3 linked regions of the Elephas maximus indicus genome follow. The protein of the gene in region 2 interacts with the protein of the main gene of each other region in a pairwise test. Links are inferred from orthologs where the notes say so. Each region holds a gene or a part of one and is shown on either strand. Other genes may lie near its edges. The genes, in order: EGFL6, SH3GL2 and ATXN2.

Region 1 (7,761 bases), on a different chromosome or scaffold from region 2:
CCAGTTCTTGGGACATGAGCCAGCAGCCTGACACCTGACTTGCAGATTTTGGAATTCACGAGCTCCCCCAGCCCCATGAACCAGCCTCTGCAACCATGTGGGTCAGGAGAAGCCTTCAACCTGAGGCCTGACCCATGGATTTGGGACTTGCCAGCCTCCACAAGTGTGTGAGCCATTTCCTTGAAATAAATCTCTTCCTCTCATTCCCTCTGTGTGTGTGTGTGGGTGTGTAAACATATATATATATATTTGTTGTTGTTGTTAGGTGCCATTGTGTCAGTTCCAACTCTTAGCGACCCTCTGTACCACAGACTGAAACACTGCCTGGCCATGCACCATCCTCACAATCGTTGTTATGCTTGAGTCAATTGTTGCAGCCACCGTGTCAATCCATCTCATTGAGGGTCTTCCTCTTTTTCACTGACCCTCTACTTTACCAAGCATGATGTCCTTCTCCAGGGACTGACCCCTCCTGAGGTGCAGTCTTGCCATCCTCACTCCTAAGGAGCATTCCAGTTGTACTTCTTCCAAGACAGATTTGTTCATTCTTTTGGCACTCCATGGTATATTCAATATTCTTTGCCAACACCACAATTCAAAAGCATAAATTCTTCTTCGGTCTTCCTTATTCATTGTCCAGCTTTCACATGCATATGAGGCAACTGAAAACACCATGGCTTGGGTCAGATGTACCTTACTTAGTCTTCAAGGTGAAATCTTTGCTTTTTAACACTTTAAAGAGGTCTTTTGCAGCAGACGTGCCCAATGCAATGCGTCATTTGATTTCTTGACTGCTACTTCCATGGGTGTTGATCCTTGACAACCTCAATCTTTTCTCCGTTTATCATGATGTTGCTTACTGATCCAATCGTGAAGATTTTTGTTTTCTTATGTTGAGGTGTAATCCATACTGAAGGCTGTAGTATTTGATCTTCATCAGTAAGTGCTTCAAGTCCTCTTCACTTTCAGCAAGCAAGGTTGTATCATCTGCATGACGCAGGCTGTTAATGACTCTTCCTTCAATCCTGATGTCCCATTCTTCTTCATATAGTCCAGCTTCTCAGATTATTTGCTCAGCACATAGGCTGAATAGGTATAGTAAAAGGATATATATATAAAACAAACCAAACCCATTGCCACCAAGTCAATTTCAACTCATAGCAACTCTATAGGACAGAGTAGAACTGCCCCCATAGAGTTTCCAAGGAGCAGCTGGTCAATTAGAACTATCAACCTTTTGACTAGCAGCTGTAGCTCTTACCTGCTACGCCACAAAGGTTTCACACATATATATGTGTGTGTATATACACACACACACACGCATATATATATATATCCTGTCCCATTGCTGTTGAGTCAATTCCAACTCATAGCGTCCCTATAGGACAGAGTATAACTGCTCCACAGGGTTTCCAATGAGCGACTGGTGGATTCGAACTGCCAACCTTTTGGTTAGCAGCCTGAGCTCTTAACCGCTGTGTGACCAGGACTCCCTATGTGTACATATATGTGTGTGTGTGTGTGTATAAAATGTACATATATATATATAATTTATGTATGTGTGTGTATATATACATACACACGCTTCACGTATATAAATACTTTAAACTGCTGCAGGGTTTAAAGCCAGGAAAGGTATGCATCAGGGTTGTATCTTTTCATGATACCTGTTCAATCTGTATGCTGAGCAAATAATCCGAGAAGCTCTGCGTTATGCAGATGACACAACCTTGTTTACTCAAAGTGAAGAGGACTTGAAGCACTTACTGATGACGATCAAAGGCCACAGCCTTCAGTATAGATTACACTCAACATAAAGAAAACAAAAATCCTCACAGCTGCACCAATAAGCAACATCATGATAAACGGAGAAAAGATTGAGGTTGTCAAGGATTTCATTTTACTTGGATCCATAATCAACACCCATGGAAGCAGCGGTTAAGAATTTCATTAGGCAAATTTGCTGCAAAAGATCTTTTTAAAGTGTTGAAAAACAAAGATGTCACCTTGAAGACTAAGGTGAGCCTGACCCAAGCCATGGTGTTTTTGATCACCTCATATGCATGTGAAAGCTGGGCAATGAATAAGGAAGAGCAAAGAAGAACTGACGCCTTTGAATTATGGTGCTGACAAAGAATATTGAATATACCATGGACTGCCAGAAGAACAAACAGGTCTTTCTTGGGAGAAGTACAGCCAGAGCGCTGCTTGGAAGCAAAACTTCATCTCACATACTTTGGACATCTTATCAGGAGGGATCAGTCCCTGGAGAAGGACATAATGCTTGGTAAGGTAGAGGGTCAGCGAAAGAGAAAAAGACCCTCAATGAGAGGATGGATTGACACAGTGGCTGCAACAATGGGGTCAAGCATGACAACTGTTGTGAGTTTGGCACAGGAACGGGCAGTGTTTTGTTTTGTCGTACATGGGGTCCCTATGCGTCGGAACTGGCTCCATAGCACCTACCAACAACAAAATATGCTTCACTGGTTTTACTCCTCTAGAAACCCTAGCCTAAAATACTCCTCAGGGGTAAGAAGAAAAGAAAACCAAACCTGTTGCTGTCAAATCAATTCTGACTCATAAGGACCCTATAGGACAGACAGAACTGGCCCATTGGGTTTCCAAGGCTGTAATCATAGGGTTGCTATGAGTTGAATCGACTCAATGGCAACTAGTCTTTTTTTTTTTTTTTTTACAGAAGTAGACTGCCATATCTTTCTTTCAAGGAGCAGCTAGTGGGTTCAAACCACCAACCTTTCAGTTAGCAGCCGAGCTCTTAACCGCTGTGCCACTCCTTAGAAGATGAGAAAGAGGATTTAAATAGCAGCAACGGAGCTCAATGGACAGAGAAGCCCTGAGTTGCTGACCCCCTTCTCCTTCAGAGTAGAACTGTGCTTCACAGGGTTTTCAATGGCTGATTTTGGGGAAGAAATTCATCAGGCCTTTCTTCTGAGGCACCTCTGGGTAGACTCCAACCCCCATCCTTTCAGTTAGCAGCTGAGTGTTTCAACTATTTGTACTACCCAGGGAGTTGGTTGTCATTAGTTGGAGTTGACTCAGTGGCAGCTGGTTTACTTCACAAGAGTTGTGGGGTATTCAATAAGATAATATCAGTAAAGTATTTAGAGTAATGCTTGTCACTATTAGCTATGAACAGCTCAGTGGTCTAAGTCATTATTGACCAAGGATATTGAATCCATTAGGACGCTTTCAACTGTAAAACAGAAGATCCAACTAAAATTGGCTTACATAATGACATCCATTACAGCCCACTGCAAGAATCTGTAGAAGTATCTCCCCCACCCTCACTTCTTCTCACATTTCATTGCTAGAATTAACACATATGCCCATTATATAACCAGGAATCAAGCTTATCATCAAGGCAAACCTCCTCTTTCTCCATATTATCTTCATCATTTTATTTCTGACACTAGTTCATAGGTGTGTCAACTAGCTATTGCTGAGTAGCAAACAATCACTACAAGCTTTAGTGGCTGGCTCTGCAGATCTGAGCTAAGCTCACTCATGTGTCTTTAGGTTGGCTAATATACACTAGGCTTGACTGAGTGGCTCTGCTTCAAACCATAGGTCTGCAAGTCGACCAGGTATATCTGTGGCACCTGTCCCTCATCCGCCTTGGACCACCACTCGCTAGCTGGGACATGTTCTTCTCATGTCTATGACAGAGGCACAGGTGTCTAAAGTCTATGCTTGAAACTGGCCCATTCCAGCTTCTGCCCACACACCATGGGTAAGTTACACAGCCAAATCCAAAGTCAAGAGGCAGGGCCATACACTCCACCATGAAGCTACAAAGGGGTGTTTGCTGGGAGAGGGTGAAGGAGGGACCAATCATTCATTCCTCCAGAATAAATAGGATTGTCAGAACAAAAAACACGTAGGTACCCGAATGAATTCTCTGAATTCTGTAGCATTTGTGTTTCGGCCATCAGTTCCTGCACTGTTCAATTATACCTGACAATTTCATCTTGCAGTCCCATGTAAATAAGCTGTTGCAAATGAGCACGGAGAGAGCATTTGTCAAATGAAGGGGTTGCCCAAGGGCTTGGTGACCTTCCTGCTCTAAGCACGCTAGGATTTGAAGGTTGTAAGAAAACCTAGCAGAATATTAAAAACTTAAACAGAAGGTAGCAGTCTCACTAGGAACCTGCATCCCCGGTTCCCACGTTGACTTCTCAACTAAATTCTTAGATCCTGGAGAGCACGCAGGTACCACTGAAACCAATTCCGGGGCCTGAAATGGATAATGGTTCTTGGTGACTCCGACAGAGGGGACTGAACTGCATCTGGGGAATGTTCCTGTTGAACAAAGCGCAGAGGATGCGCGGGTCCTGCTGGAGGCGGGTCCCAGCCAGATGTGCATGGCCCGCCCTCCCTGGCTGGCTCGCCCGGGTCCGCTTCTCAGAGGAGCCCAAGCGCGCCTTCCCCGACGTCCCAGCCTCTCCTGAGACGCGCGCGCCTCGCCGGAGCGCCCGACCCGGGAGCTGCGGGAGGAGCGCAGCCCTGATCGGCCGCAGAGCGAGCAGGCGGTAGTCCCGCTGCGCCCGCATCCCGCGTCCGGGCACCCTCCTGAGGGGGTGCAGGGGGAGGAGCAGTTGACCGCAGCAAAGGAGGGAGGCCCCGCGCCAAGATGCGACCACCCTGGGGGCTCGCGCTCCTGCTGCTGCTCCCCTGGGTGGCAGGTGGATTAGGGAGTGCAGCCAGGTGAGTGGCTGGCTTGCGATCGGCCCCTTCTCTTTGTCCCGGGTTCCTCCAGGCATCCCCACGCGTGTGTGGGTGTGTGTGCATGCGTGTGTCTGTGCACTCTGAGACTGGATTTCTCGCAATGCTGCGAGGCCGGAGCGCACCCGGACTTTCCTCCAGCGCCCCTTTGGCTAATCTTTGCACCCAGTGCCCTTTGCATCAGCTGCGCCCCACCTGGCTGCGTCCAGCAGGTTACTGGAGGGAGGCCGGGCGCTGTGAGCGCAGACCTCTGGGCGGGTGTGGGTTTGGTGGTCTGCAGACATCGACTGTAGGTAGGGGCGGGTGTGTGAATATGCGTGAATGTGTGCGTGGGAGGCGGGGGGGGGGCCGAAGGTCTCGTGTGTGCAGTTATGTATTCTCCACTCTGTACGGAGGGTTCCAACTGGTTGTCCGTCTCTGCTTTTGCCGTGGAAGAAGGGAAAGAAACTGAGGGGCTAGAGAGTGAGCTTGGGCTGGGTTCCCGCTCACAGGACCTGTTGCGGGCGGACTCCTCCGCTCGCTGCCTTTTTGAGGGTTGATGAACTGGTAAGAGAAAACGGGGTCGTCATATGAAATCCCCTCGCTCTTCTTGATATAGCAATTCAGAATCTGAAGCCATTTCCTTACTTTTCTAAGCCCTGAAACTGACTTTTCCAGGAACTTATTTTCCGAAACCCCTTAATAAACACCCACTTATGTGTTTTTACACAGTGCTCACTGTGGGCCTTGCATTGTTGTAAGCACTTTGAGAATATTAAACCATTTATACTTCCTAACAACCCCGAGGGGGAAGTACTAGTAGAGAAACAAGGCACAAAGAGGTTGAGTAATTTGCCCGAGGTGGCACAGCCAGTATGTGATGGAACTGGAATTCAAATTCAGGCAGTCTGGCCCAGAGTTCTTGCTCTTAACCAGTACACTAGGGTGACCTCTTGAGAAACCTCAGCTGGAGAAGGCTTCCTGCTTCTCTGGTTCCTATGACTTTTTGCTACTTAGATGTCTACTGGGTCAGCACCAGGCACTATTGACCTTTGGAGCTAGATAATTTGTTGGGCTTGGGGCTGTCCTGTGCACTGAAGGATGTTCACGAGCATCCCTGGTCTCTACCAACTAGATGCCAGTAGCACCCATCCTCCAAATTGTGACAACCCAAAATGTCTGTGAACATTGCCCAGTGTCCCCTGGGGAGGGCAGAATCACCCCCAGGTGAGAACCCTTGAGCTAGAGAGACCTTTAGTTTATGATTCCCAGGCAGAGCAAGATGAGAGCTTCCTAAAGGGGAGCTGGACTCTCTTTGCTTGACTTACAGGAAAATATCTTTCATCAGAGTCAGCCAAGGTATTAAGGGATTCTGAAGTTCAAACAACAAACCAGGTTCTGAGAATGTAGGATTCATCAAGTTTCAATTTCCTTTTCATGATAAAAACGTGAGCAGATGCAATTTGCTCATAATCACAGTTTCCTTGCACGTTGGAAGTTCTTGTATTGCTAGAAAGTCCACTTAAGACAGACCAAGTGCTATTTGGAGACAGGATTAATAGTTCTTTAGCAGTCAGCAAACAGACCTCCAGAGCTCCACTTTCAAAGTGCCACCAAATTAAAATAAAAGCCGAAAAGCTCCTGAATCAACCAAAGAATATTAAACTGGAGGATCCGTGTCAGGATTTTCCAATTCTGCAGTTTTCAAGATGTAAGAAGTGGTTTCCTTGCACAGTATCAGGTTCCTGAGCTGGTGTGGGTATTATCTGCTCCAGCATGCTCCCAACTGTTAAGTGGTCCACTCTTCAGGAACTGCGCGGGAACCACAGGTAATCAACTCCAGACTCCAAGCCACGCCAACACAGTTACAGAGAAGGCAACACACCCTGCAGAGATGTGTGCCACCTGGGTATTTCCTGGGGTTTCACAATTTATCCTAAAAACTGTGGCTACTATATAGAGATGTCTAATGTATGCACCCTGGTGACATAGTGTGGTTAAGAGCTATGGCTGCTAATGAAAAGGTCAGCAGTTCAAATCCACCAGGTGCTCCTTGGAAACCCTATGAGGCAGTTCTACTCCGTCCTATAGGGTCCCTATGAGTTGTAATCAACTCAGTGGCAACAGGTTTGGTTTTTGATTTTTGGAATGTATGCACTAGAGTCCCTGGGTGGCACAAACGGTAAAGTGCTCGACTACTAACCGATAGTTTACAAAGAGTCCAATGGAGTCCCTGGGTGGTGCAAACGGTTAACACACTCGACTGCAAACCGAAGGGTTGCAGGTTCTAGTCTACCCAGAGGCACTTTGGAAGAAAGGCCTGGCCATCTACTACTTTTTTTCCTCTCCCTCTTTTTTTTTTGTATTGTACTTTAGACGAAGGTTTACAGAGCAAACAAGTTTCTCGTTAAACAATACACACATTGTTTTGTGACACTGGCTGGCCATCTACTTCTTAACCACCGTACCACCAGGGCTCCATACAGCGCACTAGATAAAACATATTCTTAAAATTAACATCACCTTTTAAAAATTTTTTTTAATGTGATTAGAAACAGTTGCTCTACTAGAAAATTTCAAATGCCATATGTGGCTATTATATTTCTATAAATATAGACAGCACTGGTCTAGACTATTTGTCCGAACTCCATCTTGTGTGTTCCAGGTTCTGACATGCAGGTTTCTTAAGGATTTTTTTGCCTTGAGCACGTAAGATAAATATATTAACTTTGCTATCCTTGAGAATCAAAATTGGAGGAAGTCCCTACTTCTAACAGATTCCTATTCTACATTTTTTTTCTCTATTGAATTCAAGTAAAAATCACATGACAGGTGAGGGAATGACTAGGTACATGGTGGCTCTGCATTCATGGAGAGGGGCCTGCTGACTGCAAACCACATGCTATGTTAGGAATTGATTCTTCTCAGAGCCCCATTTTAAGGCAATGTATTCATTTCCTGTTGCTGCTGTAACAAATTACCACAAACATAGTGGCTTAAAAAAACACAAAGTTATTCTCTTGCAGTTATGGAGGT
Region 2 (8,556 bases):
GAAACTAGGAATATGGGCCCAGATGAAGAGTCTAACATGGGTCACTCACTTTGTTAACGCTTCCTCCTGTGATTAGTTAATAGGGTTTAGCTGAGCAAAGAGGAAGTTTGTGCAGGGAGAATCCCCTGTGCCGTGGAGGGAGGAGAGCTATGTAAGGAAATGTGAAGAAAGGGCACCCCTGAGAGAAAGACCCACACATTCCACCTCCAAAAGACAAAAAAAAAAGTGTGCTTATGTCAGTGCAGTTGCTGGAGAGTGGGGTGTAGGTGACAAATCCGGAGGAAAGACCATGAAGGTGGTCTTTGCCTTGATTTTCCATCTTTAGGAAAGGGCTCCTTGGCCCTGCCCATGCTAGCTGGGGGCCCAATACTACTGACAGCATTCAAAGGCACTAAATCTTATATTAAGGGCTGCTCACCCCAGAACAACAGTCTCCAGAATCCATTACTGGGCTAACATCAAACCCAATGTGGTAGGAATATGGCATCCATGACAGTGACATGTTGTTTGTTCATTCATTAAAAATTCATTCCTTTCAATCTATGATTATTAACACTGATTGGAGGCTCTGCCCTGAATTGAGGTTGGAGGCTGCAGTAGAAAAGAAACCATGGTTAAGCCTCCTCCTTTCATAGCCTCTGTTTTCTCATATGTAAAATAACAAGTTTGGATTTAATGCCCTGGATTTCCTATCTTTCTTATCCTTGACCTGAAGTCAGGAGTGGTTTGCCCTGTAGGCCAGAGCAGCAGTGACAGGGACCGAAGGAACTCTGGAACTCTGGGTCCCCTGAAAGGCATGGGGTTGCAGCAGCTCTGTGCAAATGAGAGGTCTAGTATTTGCCAGAAGCTTTGGCAAAAAAAAAAAAAAAACAAAAAAACATAACACAAGGAGAAGCAGTGCACGAATGATGTGAGGAATTACTGCTGGCTGTGAACTCACTGCCCAATTAGTGAGGTGGTACTGAGAAGAAGTTTCATTGAATGGGGACTTTCCTGAGGGAATCTAGATTTATTTACCATTTTCCATTGACTTTACCTGGGGAGACTATAGGGCAGCTTGTTGATTACAACAACCTTTAGCAGACAAAGTTCTTCCTCATTGACCTTTGCTTTCCCTTCCCCTGTCCTGTGCTTGATTTCTCAGCAGAACCTGTTACAGCCTCTTTGCAAGCAAAGAAAGACTTGTTTGGAATTTTTCAGTGTCTGGTGCATTCTCTGTATTCAGGTCACAACAAATGTCTATAAGAAGGGTTTTCCTAATTATTGACCTGCAAGTCCCCTGCGGTTCAAGGCCCACTCCATACATGTTTTGGTGTCTCTCTCTACCATCTCCGAACACCTACTGTGATGGCTGCTAGTAGGAGAAGCTCAATAATCTCTTTCATAGGAAACATTTCAAAGGTCTTTTTAAGCATACATTGTGGCCTCAGTGACAAATACTGTGTTTAGATGAGGTCCAGGCCATATCTGGAAGAGCTTAACCATGGTTTCAAAAGTCCTTAATTAGTTCTTTCTCCTGGGGTAGCTCCATTGAAGTAAAACAGAGTAAACCTTCTAAGCTTGTGGATGAAGAAACAGGGAAAGACAGAGACTTGCTTTTGTTTAATTTAGATTTCAGTACAGTTTCCACAGTTCTGAGGGGACTCTTCAGGTTCCCATCTCACCTTTCAGGGTTGGAGACCAGGACTCATGAATCTCAGACCCCTCTAATTTGTAGTTTAATTGTTCTAAGTCTTGGCAACTCCCCCAAAATGCCAACCCTGTGAAAATGTTCCATTGCTTAGAGCAGGGAACAGGCAAAAAAAAAATTAACCATGAAATACTTTTTCTATTATACAAGTAACGGGAAAACATTTTAAACGGCGGGCGGGGGGCGGGGGATCCTCTCCTAAATCATATCTGTACTCCAGCCCAGTGGTTCTCAAAGTGTGGTCTCAGCATCACCTGGGAACTTGTTACCTGTAAAAACCCATTGCTGTCGAGTCAATTTTGACTCATCGCGACCCTATAAGACAGAGGAGAACTGCCCTGTAAGGTTTCCAAGGAGCACCTAGTGGATTCGAACTGCCGACGATTTACAGTTAGGCAGCTGTAGCTCTAACCACAATGCCACCAGGGCTTCCAGGAACTTGTTAGAAAAGTTAATTATTGGGCCTCATCCCAGACCTACTGAATTAATCGAAATCTTTAAGGATGGAGTCAGCAGGCTGTGCTTTAACAAGCCTTCCAGGTGAAGTTTGAGAACTATTGCTTAACAAAACAAAAACCAGTTGCCACCTAGTTGATTCTGACTCATGGCGACCCCATGCGTATCAGAGTAGAATTGTGCTCCTTACTGTTTTAATGTTTGATTTTTTGGAAGTAGATCACTGAGCCTGTCTTCTGAGGTGCCTCTGGCTGGACATGAATCTCCAACGTTTTGGTTAGCAGCTGAGTGTGTTCACGGCAACAGCCAGGAACTCCACTGCTCTAGTAGCACAACCGTTATTAGCATTTTGGTATTTTAGGGTAGTCTTCTTATGTGTGTGTTTAAGTGTATGCAGATTTCACCAACCTGTTAGGCTACAAAGGCAGTCATCATAGCACTTACCCTCAAATCTCTAGCCCCACCTACTTGTGCAGTAAGTCCAAACCCTTTCAGAGCTTAATATCGAAAAGTTAGAAATCACCAAGGTGGGTCTCTTTATATGTGAGTAAATGTCCCCTAAGGAGCCCTGGTGGTGCAGTGGTTAAAGGGCTCGGCTGCTAACTAAAAGGTCGGTTGTTTCAACCTCCTAGCCACTCCACAGAAGAAAGATGTGGCAGTTGGCTTCCACAAAGATTTAAAAAAAAAAATTTTTTTTTTTTTTTTTTTTTAAGCCTTAGAAACTCTACAGGGCAGGTCTTCTCTGTCCTCTAGGGTCGCTATGAGTCAGAATTGTCTCAATGGCAATTTTTTTTTTTTTTTAATGTCTTAAAGGCATATCACCTCTTGGACCCTCAATAAGGTCACTTCAGTGGTTTGTCCTCAACTCTGTGGATCAGAAGCCCCACCTGTCTATGGACAACACCTTCATCTTTGGTGTTTCTAAGGGACACAGGTTGTCCCTTGCCCTCACATTCCTTTAGGATTCCCCATGGATGGCAAGAGCTTACTATCCACCTCTCTAGCTGACAATGAAAATGCTGGGTAAGTGGCCAGGGTATGGTCAATCCATCTACCCAGAGCAACTACTACTTAAATTCTCTGCCAAGAAATGGCAGTCATTTTCCCTCCCAATCCACTAATTAAAACTTGTCACAGTGCCCCGCCTAGCCACAAGGGGTTTGAAAAGTGCAATCCTGCCATGTACCTGGAAGGCACATGAACTTCAGTAACGCTCCCACGCTGGAGATCTCCTCTATCTTCTGCTTCTTTCTGCAGACTGGGACACAAGCCCACATGCACCACTATCTGCTTGACTCTGCCTCTATGTGTTTCAGTTCAAATCATCAAGAAGCGCTATGATTGGTAGCCTTGGTGATGCGTAGGATCGCCTTGTATCGGATGCCCACCCCTGCCCAAGCAGCTGTGGCTGTGTGTGTGTGTGTGTGTGTGGTTTGTACAAAGCAGCAGGGGCTGTGGTGGCAGTTACTACCATTTCTAGAATGCTCATTCTACTATATTGCCTCTTTATTCACCTTGGCAATTTTTTTCAAGGGCCCCTTTTTCTGCCTTCTGTCCCTCTGCCTTGTCCTTGGTATATATTTGAACTCCAAGGGAAGACGCAGTTCAAATTTTTTCCATGTGCTACTCAGTCCTAGAAAAACCAGAGGAAGTGGCTAATTACCAGAACAGTGAAGATACCTAGTGAGGTTCCACTCCCAATTCTAATTCCATCAGAGCTTTGCTCTGACCCAGCCATACAGACTTTGTTACATATCTAGTATTTGCACAATTTAATATCGTGCTTTTTCACATTACTGGAGACTGAAAATCCTAAATCCACTACCACTATTGCCCAAGCGTCAAGTTCATATTCAGGCTTTTTCATTTCTGTACACAGAGAATTAAATGTGGTTACCGTAATAATGTCTCATTCGGTTCTTTTCACCTGACCAGCCTGTACCCTTTTATGCTGGGTGGTGCATATGGCGAACGCGAACTTTCTCAGCCTCGGGGGCTTACTGAGAAGCTGCTGTACCACTGATACTGTGTCCTGTGAAAACCAGGAGCCTTTATGACTGTTTGAAACGGAAGAAATGGGCGTGTGCCGCAGATTACTATTTTTACAGGGTGTTGTATGAGGTGTCTGAATTTTTGGCAGAAAATAAGAAATTTTGAAAAATTTAATTCATTACACATATGTACCAGTAGACCCCGGTGGGGACCCCGGAGAAAAATTAATGGTATATTGCATGTACCAAGGGACACAGGGTAGGCTTGTGGGAGGTGCCAAGAAAGAAAAATCCATACTACCTGCCAAAAATTCAGACACACTCAATGATTCAGCATATTTTCACTAAGGAAAACACATGGTATCAACAAAAAAACTCAAAGCAGAAAATGATTGGGCCGCCAAAGGGTTAAGTTTGTTTGTTTTAAAATTTTTAAGTTATTAAATTGTATCAGATCAGAAAGGGGTGTTGGTGACTCTCCTAACGTTTGTATAGGCTTATTGAAACCAGGACAGAGATATATTTTCTGTGACCAACCCAGCGCCGGCAAAACAGAGAAGGAGCAATGACTTATCACCCCAGAGAGAACACCACTCCTCCTTTTCAGGCTGCGGAGAGCCGGGTCAAAGGGCAGGCAGGCAGGCGGCTGGCAGCGCCGCTGCGGCTACCTGCAAGCCGAGTAGTCACCTGAGTCGTGCCAGTCCCCGGGCTGCTCAGCTGCAGCGACCGCTCCGCATCCGCAGGGGCACGGACAGCGCCCCTGGGGCGGAGAAACAGAGCCCTCGGTCTCCGATCCGGGAGCCAGTCGCCGCGCCAGCGTCCGAGCCCGCGGTGGGGCCGGCGCCCAGGTGCTGAGCGCACGGCACCTGCCGGCCGGCCCGCGCCGGGGCGGGGCTTCCCGCGTCCCCTTTAAGAGGCGGCATCACCCGCCCTGACGTCAGGGTATCTCTCCGCACGAGCCCGGGTCCCGCGCCGGCTCTGCGCCCCCGTGCCCACAGCCCCGGCCGCGGCACGACGAGCGGCGGCCCGGCGAACGCGCCGCCCGGCTCGGCCCTCCTGCCCGCGCCGCCGCCGCCGCCTCCTGTCCGCAGCCGCCGCGGCCCGCGTCTGCGCGCCCTCCTGCACCATGTCGGTGGCCGGGCTCAAGAAGCAGTTCCACAAAGCCACTCAGGTGAGGCGCGTGACAGGTGTGTAGCGGGGCGGTTTCGGGGAGATTTTACGGTCCCCGGCCCGGCGCCCAGCGCGCCCCGGCTGCACCCCGCATCGCCTGCCCCGGCCACCGCAGCGGCGGCCCCGGGCATCCCTGGGCAGGTAGCGCGCTTTTCCGCCCCCTGCTCGGGGCGACTCCGCAGGCACCCGTTGGGTCCCCGGCATCCCGCCTCGTCACCCCGCGCGCCGCCAGCGCACTGCCACGCGCGGGCAGGCTGGCAGGGAGGGGACCGCGGCTGCACCGCGCAAGTGCTGGGCGGCGCGGTGGGAGATTATGTAAAGTCGCCTCCTCTCTGGTGACCTTGAGGCGTCGGAGTGCCCAGCCGTCCCGGGATGTGGTGGCAGGAGCGGTGGCCCGCACGGGGGGTGGCTGCGGAGATGCCTGCCATCTGCGCTCCTCCTCGGTGGTTCCCTCCTTCCCTCCTTCCACAGCGTCCTCCGGCTCAGAGGAATGGGAGGGAATGACAGGGGGGTCCTTCAGGGAAGCGCCTGCCTGAACTTTTCGCTGGAGAACTCAGTCGTCTAACTCCTTCGACCCCAGGGATTGACCAGCAAGCTATCTGCGTGCCTTTGACAATTTCCTGTGGGTTTTGGTGTCTTGATAGAGTCAAATTGTTGAAAACTGAAAATTATCATGTGTTTCGAAGTATTTAGCGTGCCTTTTATACCTTGGATATACCAACTTTATGGGGTTACTAGTCTGTGATTATAATAAAACTTATTTAATCCTTGTTCTAATAATTTAAACCTCATTGGGCTAAATTGAAGAACAATAAGTGAATGCTTTCGGTGTGACCTATTTCTTATATAATGTGTATGCTTTTTTTTCTTCTTAAAAATAACTCTGAAACAGGTTCTAATCTAACGGATCTTTAGTTAAGAGCTTTGTGGATTTACCTTTGAATAGTTTAGCCTTAAATATTCTTTTTATAGATTAGCCTTAATTAATATTGAGCTTTTCTCATAAGTTTTCAAATGTAATGAGGTTTTTCCCAGGCTACCACAATAGCAAACCTATTACAAACCACATCCAGAAGGAATGAATTTTGCAGAATCTTAGTTAAATTAGGATGACAGATGCATGAAATTCACTGCACACGAGTGTGTGTGTGTGCACGTGCGCCATCTCTGATCACTGTAGACTTGACTTTATAGAATCAGTTATATTGGTCAGTTTGGGAACTGGGGAAAACTAGAACTGTTTTGGTAAAAATGCCCATTCATGTAATTATTTTTGCTTTTCAGATTGAAGCTTCCTGTGACCTCTGCCTGAAAGGCTTGTAAATATAAGTGCATTGTTGTAGTTGGGGGGCCCCTTGCACCTTTGTACTTCAGGTTCTTCCAGGTTTACGGATCCAGCATATGTTGCCCATACATCCCCAGGCAGAGCAGAGCATCTCTGAAGTAACTAACCTGTCTTGGCCCAGGCACTTGTCACTTCCCTAAAGCAGACCTCAGCTTGACATTTACCAATACCATGTCCTTTTTTTTTGCTTCAATTTTGGAGATTTCCTCTGTAAAGCTTGGTGCCCTAAAAGGCAACTAAGAGTCTTGGCTGCAGAGTGGAAAAGGCCAGGATTTGAACCCACCTTTACTGTCTTTGACTTTGAGTGAGTTATCTGACTTCCAAATCTGTCTTTGCTAAAGTGAAAATGATACCGATTTTCTCAGGTTGATGCGGGAATAAAGGAGTTTGTAATACACGATAAAAAGTGTTCAGTAAGTGATAGCTATTAATCTTAATAATTTTCCTAGTATAAATACTACCTTATATACTAGTAATAACGAGACACGAGGAAATAACAGAAACTCGAATGTTTAGCTTTGCGAACCTAACAATAATCGATTTCATTTCTGCCAAGTCCTGCGGCTATATGTAGCTATAAGATTCAGAATAAAAAATTGAGTTGCGATACAGAAGAACTTCTTAGACGGTTGGAGGAGGTCTATTTGTGCTAAAATCAGATTACTATTTATCGCACTGACTCAATATGCAGGCTTACTGCATTATTTTCTTCTTTTTATTGGAAAACCTTACATTTTAAAGGTGAAGCAACACGTTGACTTATATCCTTAAGTTGGTGTAGCCCAACCATAGAAAGCCCCAGACAAAGATTACTCTTCCTGTGTACATATGTATATTTTGATATGTAAAGTCAGTGCTACTGTTTGCATGCGACAAAGATAATAGGGGAAATGGTCATGCCCTACTTTTGGAGCCGTTTTCCCATACAGCTTCATGAGCCTGATCTTATTTACGAATGAAGCGTTAGACCTGGCACTGTTTCTTCGTGAGAACTGTCTTTGTTTTATTTTACAAAACAGTGGACGTGCTAGATTCTAGCCTATATGTATATGTCCTCTTTAGGCAGCCATCTCTCCAGTTTCCACTGAATTGAGTTTTTTGTTTATTTAGGGGAGATACTTGTATTAGTAGAGCAGCCTGTCTTCAGTGTTTGAACCACTGACTTGAGATTTCTGATTGGCACATCACACCTGTTCTTTTTCATTAAAACTGGTTGTTTCTACCTTGTTACCGACAATAATTTTCCGTATCTCTACTCTTTAGAGGTGAAAAGATGCTTTTGCAACTTTATTACGAAAAAACCCCCAGTGCCATTGAGTCGAGAGGAGAAAATCCTTTAGACTTGAGAATATAATAAAAATAGCAAAAATCGATCATCTTCTCATTTTAACATACTTTATTATTAAATTACTCATAAGGAAATAATTTACCATACAGTTAGAATGAATGAGATAATCTTTTTACTGTAAAATAGGGCAGATGAGCATATATTACTCTACTTTTAGTGAGTTTTATTCATACTGAGATTTCATTTTAGCAAAAGTACTGTTGATTTTTTCACTTGGGTTAAGCCAGAAGTATAGATAAAAATAGCTGTCTGGTTCCAATTAATGTCCTGCTCTTATGCAATTTGTACTTTTTTTTTTTTAAAACTTAATTATCATATATTTGATGTGGGGCTATCTTGCTTTAAACTAAGACGCGTAAGTCTTTTATAGAGTAAAATTTATTAGGTTATTATTTGCATAAAAGGATTCGCCGTAGTATTCTTCTAAACGTGGCTCTCGAATCGTTATTTAAGAGGGCAGTTCAGTTTCTAAATAATATATAACATTACTGTGTCGAATGAGGTATGCTTTCTTCTTTTTAATGGACCTTTTAGGATGTATACCTATTATAGACTG
Region 3 (7,598 bases), on a different chromosome or scaffold from region 2:
ACACCACTTTAAGGAGCAATACCCTGACCTAAGCTAAAGCTTTCTGACATCACAGTTGCTGTTAAATAACCATGTTTTCAGAGGTCTGGAATTCAGGCAAACAATTTGCAGTAAGAGAGATACCTTGGTTTTGGGTGGTGATCCTCTGTCCACAAAGAAAAAGGAGAAGGTATAAACTAGAGTTGACAGTAGAGATTCTTTTGGTTTCCATTTGAATATAAAAGCAGAAATCAAATTTTTAAATTGTGTTAAACATATATGTAACAAAACGCTGGCCATGTCAGCATTTTTTACATGTACAGTTCGTGAAATTAATCACAGTCATCTTTGTTCAACCCTTATGACTATCCATTTCCAAATTTTTCATTACCTTTAATAAAAGTTTGGTGGCCCCTAAGCAATGAGTCCCTGTGCTAGTCATCTACTGCTGCTATAACAGAAATACCACAAGTGGGTGGCTTTAACAAAGAGAAATTTATTCTCTCACAGTCTAGTAGGTTACAAGTCCAAATTCAGGATGTTAGCTCCAGGGGAAGGCTTTCTCTCTTTGTCAGCTCTGGAGGAAGGTCCTTGTCCTCAATATTCCCCTGGTAGAGTAGCTTCTCAGGTGCAGGGACCCTTGGTCCAAAGGATGTGCTCTGCTCCCAGTGTTCCTTTCTTGGTGGTATGAGGTCCCCAACTCTCTGCTTGCTTCCCTTTCCTTTTTCTCTCTCTTGAGATAAAAGGTGGTACAGGCCACACCTCAGGGAAACTCCCCTTACATTGGATCAGGGAGGTGACTTGGGTAAGGGTGGTGTTACAATCCCACCCTAATCCTTTTAACATAAAATTACAGTCACAAAATGGAGGACAACCAGAGAATACCGGGAATCATGGCCTAACCAAGTTGATAAACACATTTTGGAGGACTCATTTCAATCCATGACAGTCCCCCTTTCCTCCTCCCTCCTGCTCATTTGCCTCTAGTAACCACTAGTAAACTCTGGTCTCTCTATACACTTGCCTATTCTAGATATTTCATATAAGTGGAATCATACAATATTTATTCTTTTGTGTCTGACTTACGTCCCTCAGCATGTTTTCAAGGTTCATCCATATTGCAGACTTCATTTCTTCTTATAGCTGATTATTATTTCATTGTTTATGTATGTACCACATTTTGTTTATCCATTTATCTGTTGATGGATATTTGTTGATCCACTTTTTGGCTATTGTGAACAACGCTTAACTCAACATTGGTGCACAAGTGCCTTTTTGTGTTCCTATTTTCAATACTTTTGGGTACACCTGGGAGTGAATTATTGCTGAATTATTTGCTAATTCTTTATTTACCTCTTTGAGGAACCACCAAACTTTTTCCCACAGAAGCTGAAGCAGAATATCACATTTTGATGATAAACTCTCATATCTTCCTGGTGTTAATGCAAAGTGGTACAGCCAGTTTGGAAAATATCTTTCCAAAAAGTATCTTTAAGAAGTTAAATATAAATGTACCATAACCAAAAACCCAAGTCCATTGCCATCGAGTTGGTTCCGACTCGTAGGGACCCTATAATTTACCATGAAAAAAAAAAAACCACCCAGCAATTCCATTCCTAAAACTCTACCCAAGAGAAATGAAAACATATGTCCACACAAAGAAATATGTTCATAAATGTTCCTAGAGGCATTATTCCTAATAGCCAAAAACTAGAAGCAATCTAAATGTCCACCAGTTGGTAGATGGATAGATGTACAAAATATGGTTCATTCATGCAATGGAATACTACTCAGCAATAAAAAAAAAGAGTACTGATACATGCTGCAACAGGGCTGAACTTCAGAAACATTGTAAGTGAAAGAATCCAGAAACTAACGACTGCATACTGTTGAGATTCCATTTATATAAAATGTCCACAATAGGGACATCCATAGAAACAGAAAGTAGGTTAGTCGTCGTCTGGGCCTGGGGGTGGAGATGGAGAGTAACTGCAAATGGCTTTGAGGGATCTTTTTGGGGTGATGGAAATGCTCCGAAATCAGTGGTGATGATTGCACAGGTCTGTAAATTTACTAAAAGTAAAAAAATCAGACACTTAAAATGGGTGAATTTTATATTATGTAAATTATACCTCAAGGAAGCCATTGCAAAAATTGCACTGATAATGGATGGGAACTTGAGCTCTCTCAGCCTACATGAAATCAAGTTCAGCTATGTCAGCTTCAGGCCTTCTTATTCTACTTCCCTTTTTCTTTCCGTCTGCCAGGAGTCTGATGCTAAGATTGAATTCTGAGAACTTAGTCCCATATATTGCTGTCAAATAATTAAATCAACGAAAGTTGATTGTATCACTATTGTGGTTCTTTCTTTTTCCATCTGGTATTTTATTCTCAATTTCTTTGGGTTAATTTTTAAAGGATTTGTAACTGTTGGTTTAAAGGAATAGCTTAAATGGGGTGGGGGGGAGGGGGAGCTGACTTCCTAGTTTTCAAATGTTTGTGGAATACAAGGATCATTTTTACCTGGACTATCTAGGAGATTAATTTCATTTTGGCTATTAGAGATACCTGGCTTAATCATTCCCCCAAGTTTTTCCATATCTTTCTCTTTATCTGGACAACTCTAGGAGACAGAGGGGAATTTTGTTGCTTTTTTCCCCTGTCATTTCCTGAAATAATTTCACTTTTAAACAAACTAGATTCTTCACTGGGGGGGGGGGGGGGGAAGTCGTTATCTACTTGCTTCCAGCTTAATTGCAACATATGTAAAGAACTGACTACTGTGCTGGCTGGCGCCCTAAGTTAAAGTAAAACTTCTAAAGGGGCCAATGTCTAAAGTTCGCACATTCTTGTGAGGTCTGTTCTGTCTCCACTGAAGGAGACCCTATTATCCATAGCGCTACCAAATCACGTACATTTCCTTTTGAGTCTTATGAATGGAGGAAACGAAGTTCAAGTGAGGGGTAAAAAATGGGTTCAGACGAAGGTCAGGTACCCAAAAGAGTTTTCTGGTTACCGTGTTGCTGGAGTGGAAAAAGTGGGGAAAAGGTAACCAGATGTGGGTGGCCCCAAGAGGTTGCTCCAACCCCATTAGTTAGTCTTGGCAGGGAAAGTGAGCGCGGCCTGCCTTTGGGCCACCCAGTGCCACTTGAGGGCCTACTGTGTGCCAGGCACTGTTCGAGGTGCTTTCTACGTAGCACGACAGTCTCCGCCCTGCAGGCGCTCGCAAGCCCATTTTCTAGGTTGCATCAGGTGGGGGCCCACAGGGCTCCTCCAAGGAGTCTGAGGACGTTGGAGGAACACTCGGGAGGAGGGGGCCACTTTCCTCCTGTCCCCTGCACTAGGCCGACCCAGCAGGCGAAGACCGACACGCCCTCGCAGGAGGCCAGACCCGCCTCGAGGAGGGCGGACCCAGGCAGGGCCGGACGCCGGGCCCTCACCCGACCCTCGCAAACGCGCCCCAGCGCAGCGCCCGCTCCTCACGTGTCCCTCCCGGTCCCCGGTCGTCTCACGGAGTGCTTCCGCCCGACCCTTCCGACTTCCGGTAAAGAGTCCCCAGCTCCGCACCTCCGCGCCCACCCGGCACCGCCACCCAGTGTCTCGGCGTGCCCGGCCTCGGATGCGGTCGGCAGCCGCAACAACTCGGAGCCCCGCGGCGGCCGTCGAGCCTCGCCGTTTCGCCGCGGTCAGGTGGCCGGGGCGGTGCTCGCTCCCGCGGCCGGCGCGGCGGCGCGGGCGGGGCGGTGGCGGCGCGGCCCCGTATCCCTCCGCCGCCCCTCCTCCGCCCGGCCCCGGCCCCCCTCCCTCCGGGCAGCGCTCGCCTCCCTCCGCCTCAGACTGTTTTGGTAGCAACGGCAACGGCGGTGGCGCGGCCCGGCTCGGCTCCCGGCGGCTCATCGGTCTCAGCGGGCCTCCCCGCCCCTTCGTCGTCGTCCTCCTCCCTCTCGCCGGCCCCGGCGCCCCCCCGGCCGCGCCAGCCCGCGCCTCCTCGCTCCGCGCCCGCGCGTCCCCGCCGCGCTCCGGCGTCTCCTCGGCGCGCCCGGCTCCCGGCTGTCCCCGCCCGGCGTGCGGGCCGGTGTATGGGCCCCTCACCATGTCGCTGAAGCCCCAGCAGCAGCAGCAGACCGCGGCCGCCAATGCCCGCAAGCCCGGCGGCCTCCTCACGTCGTCCGCCGCCGCGCCGGCGCCGTCCTCGTCCTCGTCCTCAGCCACCGCGTCCTCAGCCGCTGCGTCCTCCTCGGCGGCGGCGGCGGCGGGCGGCGGGCGGCCTGGCCTGGGCAGGTGGGTGTCGGCGCCGAGCCCCCTCTGCCCGGGCCTGGACGGCCGGGCCTCGAGTCCCCTCCCCCGCGGCGCCTTTCCTCCCGTGACCGGCGGGGCCCGGGGGGTGGGCTGGGGGCCCGCGGTGGGGGCGGGGGCCTCTCGGGCTGGAGCCGAGGGGCTGGAGGCTCCCACGGGGCTTCTCGGCGATTGTCAGGCCGCGTCCAGTCTCTTGCACCATCCCCACCCCCTTCCCCAAACGGTCAAGATGGAAGGACCGGGCAGCCGCCTTCTCTCGGTTTCCACGCTCGGGGGGGTTCACAGGTCTCCGCAATTGTCAGCCCCGGTTCCGCCTTCTCTACGCCTCCCTCTCCTCGTGGGGGGGGGTGCTTGGGCAGCACCCCCACCCCTAGTTTAAATGTTGATGTTGGCGGGGTCCTGGAGCTCCCGAAACATGTCTTCTCCACCAGTGGGGAATTTCGGGGGAGGGGGGATTGGACAGCGTCCCCTCCTGTTGAAGGGCGCATCTGGGATCGCTGGGGTCTGTCCGGTCTCCCTTGACGCCCCTCTTCCCTGGCCTGGAGACGGTCGAAGGACGGGGCGGAGGGGTGGGCAGTGGCCTCCCGCCCCCTCCCCATTGAAACCTGCGATCGTGGGGCTCCGGGCCGTCCCGGGCAGCGTCCTCCGTCCCCTACCTGGGGCAGGGGTGGGACGGCCCTCCCCGCAAGGCCTCTCCTGCCGGGTGGCGGCCCAGCCGCATTGCTGTCGGAGGCCGCCGAGGAGCAGGCGCCTTTGAACAGGGTGGGCGAGGGCCGGGCCCCGCCGGGCCGCTGCGGGAAGCGGGCCGCTGCGCATTTTCTCACTACCCCCGCTTCAGTCGCCGGAATTTCGAGGGAAGAGGAATTGCCGCGGGGGCATGAAGGGCTCCTGAAGCAGAAATGCGGGTGTTTACTTGCGACCCCCGCCCCCTCCCCCTAACTCAGGCTTGTGGTGGGGGCCCGGGGGCTCGGTGTGCTTTCAGCGAACTGGCTTTGACTCTGGAGGGCGTGTTTGCGTGGGAAGGCCTGTTGGGGGTGGGGGGTGGCTGTCAGTTCGTATTTCATGAAGTAAGAAAATGCTTAGTGTTCAAACTGGGCAGCAAATGTCAATAGACTCCATTCCATTGTGGCCGGTGTCCTTAACTTGGGGAGTGCCGCCAGAGCTTACCAAGGGCACACAAGTCCATTTCCCCTGTGCCCCGGGCCCCTCCGTGGTGCAGGCACTGCCATGCCTCCCTTAGGCCTAGGCAGAACTGGCAAGGCCAGTGACCATTGTCCTCCTTAAATAGACATACTGGTCTTTCAAAGGTGGGCTAAGGGAGTTTTTCATACACTGAGTTTTCTTTTTGAAAACAAATTTTCAGCGAAATGTAAATACTCGTTTACAGCAGGCGAACTTTACCTATCCAGATGATTCAGAGCTGGTTTTTAAGGAATTCTCCCTTCAGAGGGGGGACAGTCACTTTTTTGGCTTCTCCTCCCCACAGTCCCACGGTTTCCCCTTCTCTGAAGCACCCACCAATGCTGCCTAGCCCAACAAGTTCAAATGAATGATAGTTTCTGCAGCTCTATACACTTAGCATTCTGTAACTTCAAGTTTCCCTTTTTCAGTGGCAATGATAGTGGAAAACATTTAAAAGATACAGTTTTATAGAAGAGGGTGCTTTTTTTTTTTTTCTTTTTAGGTTTTAAAGGTAGAAATATGACAGATACCTTGTTCAAATAATTAAAAATTAAAACTAAAGGTTTTAAATTGCATTTGCCCTCCCTAGGCTTAAGCATTACATTATTCAGAGTAGTTTGAATGGTCAAAGATAGCTGAAATGTTTTAGTAGTACAGATCTTTTTCTGTTCCTTAAGGCTTCATAAAAACTTAGAGTTAATTTCTTCCTTGCTTTAAATCCTTTTATTTGAGGTATAAATTGTAGCCTTTATTCTTTTTCCTAAATATGCAAAGTTTTGTTTAATGTGAAATTCACATAATGTGAAATTTTACTCTTGAGCACATCTTTAGTTAATGTACTTGTAGAGTTGCTTTTATGAATCACCTTTACTGGGTTCTTTGTAAACCAGTTACAATATCTAGAATCTCCTCACTTAACATTTGAATGCATCAGTGGTAAAATAAGTTTCTGAGCAGGGGTAAAGGCAAAGAAAAAAAGCATCATTGGGTTTGACATGGTTAAAAGGAGCAAAATATTCTTCAAAGCTTTGAAATTCATGTCTGTTTTAAATAGCATAACATATCATCAGATTTGATTTTTACTTTTTTGGTGAATAGTGGATTTTTATGGCCTTTACAAAATGATTTGTTCTGTCTTTTTCACATACTTTTGAGAAGGTGGATTTTTTTTTTTTTTAAGGAAAGAACAATGTAGCTACAATATTAAAATTGGAAAGTAATTTATTTTAACCCAATTTTTATTTTTGCCTTTTATTCTTCAGTTCTTATCAATGTATTTTTATGTTCTTGCATTGCTGATTGCATGTTATTTGTATTTAGCTTTTTTTTTCGTTAGTATTGATATGTATATATGGTTTCTACTCGTATTGTTGGCATTTGGGTTTCCGCTTTTTTGTTATTATAGATAATTGTGCAGTGAACATCTTTACACTAAAGCTTTTTTGCTTCAGTGTAGTTATTTCCTTTGAGAAAGTTCCCAGGAGTGACATTACGAGGTCAAAGGGCTTCAAGATTTTTACGGCTCTTGCTCACTGCCGAATTGCTCCTCAGAAGATTTGTATTAATTTCCAGTGCAGAGAAGGTGGATCTTCTTTAGAATGGCTTCTTTGTAGTTTGTCAAACACTGGAGGGCATTTTGAAGGGAAAAGTTGCCTTTACTGTGAAGTGCACACATTAAGTGCTTTTGTTAGTTACCTGATTGTTTACATTGGAGTTTGAGTTTGAATTTGTTTCCTCTGGGGATTTAATAATGTGTGTGATGGTGCTTGGAGAACTGTAGCTGTTAACACTAGTGAGGATACATAGTTTATCTGTTGTACTAATACTTCGACCTGGTAACTACAGGAATGAATGTAGTGGGGAAGTGTTTTTAAAGCTTTTTTGTTTTTATTTTTTACCTTCTTTCATCTAAAAGTGTGTTTTATTAGCTGCTAGTCTGTAACCAGCCCCTGGTGGCACTGTGGTTAGGGGTTCAGCTGCTAACCAAAAGGTCAGCAGTTCGAATGCACCAGCCACTCCTTGGAAGCCGTATGGGGCAGTTCTGCTATGTCCTTTGTGGTTGCTATGAGTCAGAATTGAATTGACAGCAGTGGGTTTTTACTCTGTACCCAGGCCCCAGTTGTGCAGTGGTTAGTCGTTTG

The links.
Region 1: the proteins of SH3GL2 (region 2) and EGFL6 interact in a two-hybrid assay, tested with the Homo sapiens proteins (2 studies listed by BioGRID and IntAct). The link is inferred for Elephas maximus indicus from reciprocal best matches to the Homo sapiens genes SH3GL2 and EGFL6.
Region 3: the proteins of SH3GL2 (region 2) and ATXN2 interact in binary tests that used the Homo sapiens proteins (3 or more experiments, as listed by UniProt). The link is inferred for Elephas maximus indicus from reciprocal best matches to the Homo sapiens genes SH3GL2 and ATXN2.

What each region holds. Positions count from the first base shown.
Region 1 is NC_064846.1:166,091,536-166,099,296, reverse strand, and holds the start of EGFL6 (epidermal growth factor-like protein 6), read left to right. Parts: upstream 1-4,654; coding exon 4,655-4,728; intron 4,729-7,761.
Region 2 is NC_064827.1:27,493,829-27,502,384, forward strand, and holds the start of SH3GL2 (endophilin-A1), read left to right. Parts: upstream 1-5,170; 5' UTR 5,171-5,263; coding exon 5,264-5,308; intron 5,309-8,556. UniProt on the Homo sapiens protein: Implicated in synaptic vesicle endocytosis. May recruit other proteins to membranes with high curvature. Required for BDNF-dependent dendrite outgrowth.
Region 3 is NC_064840.1:9,932,061-9,939,658, reverse strand, and holds the start of ATXN2 (ataxin-2), read left to right. Parts: upstream 1-3,986; 5' UTR 3,987-4,072; coding exon 4,073-4,260; intron 4,261-7,598. UniProt on the Homo sapiens protein: Involved in EGFR trafficking, acting as negative regulator of endocytic EGFR internalization at the plasma membrane.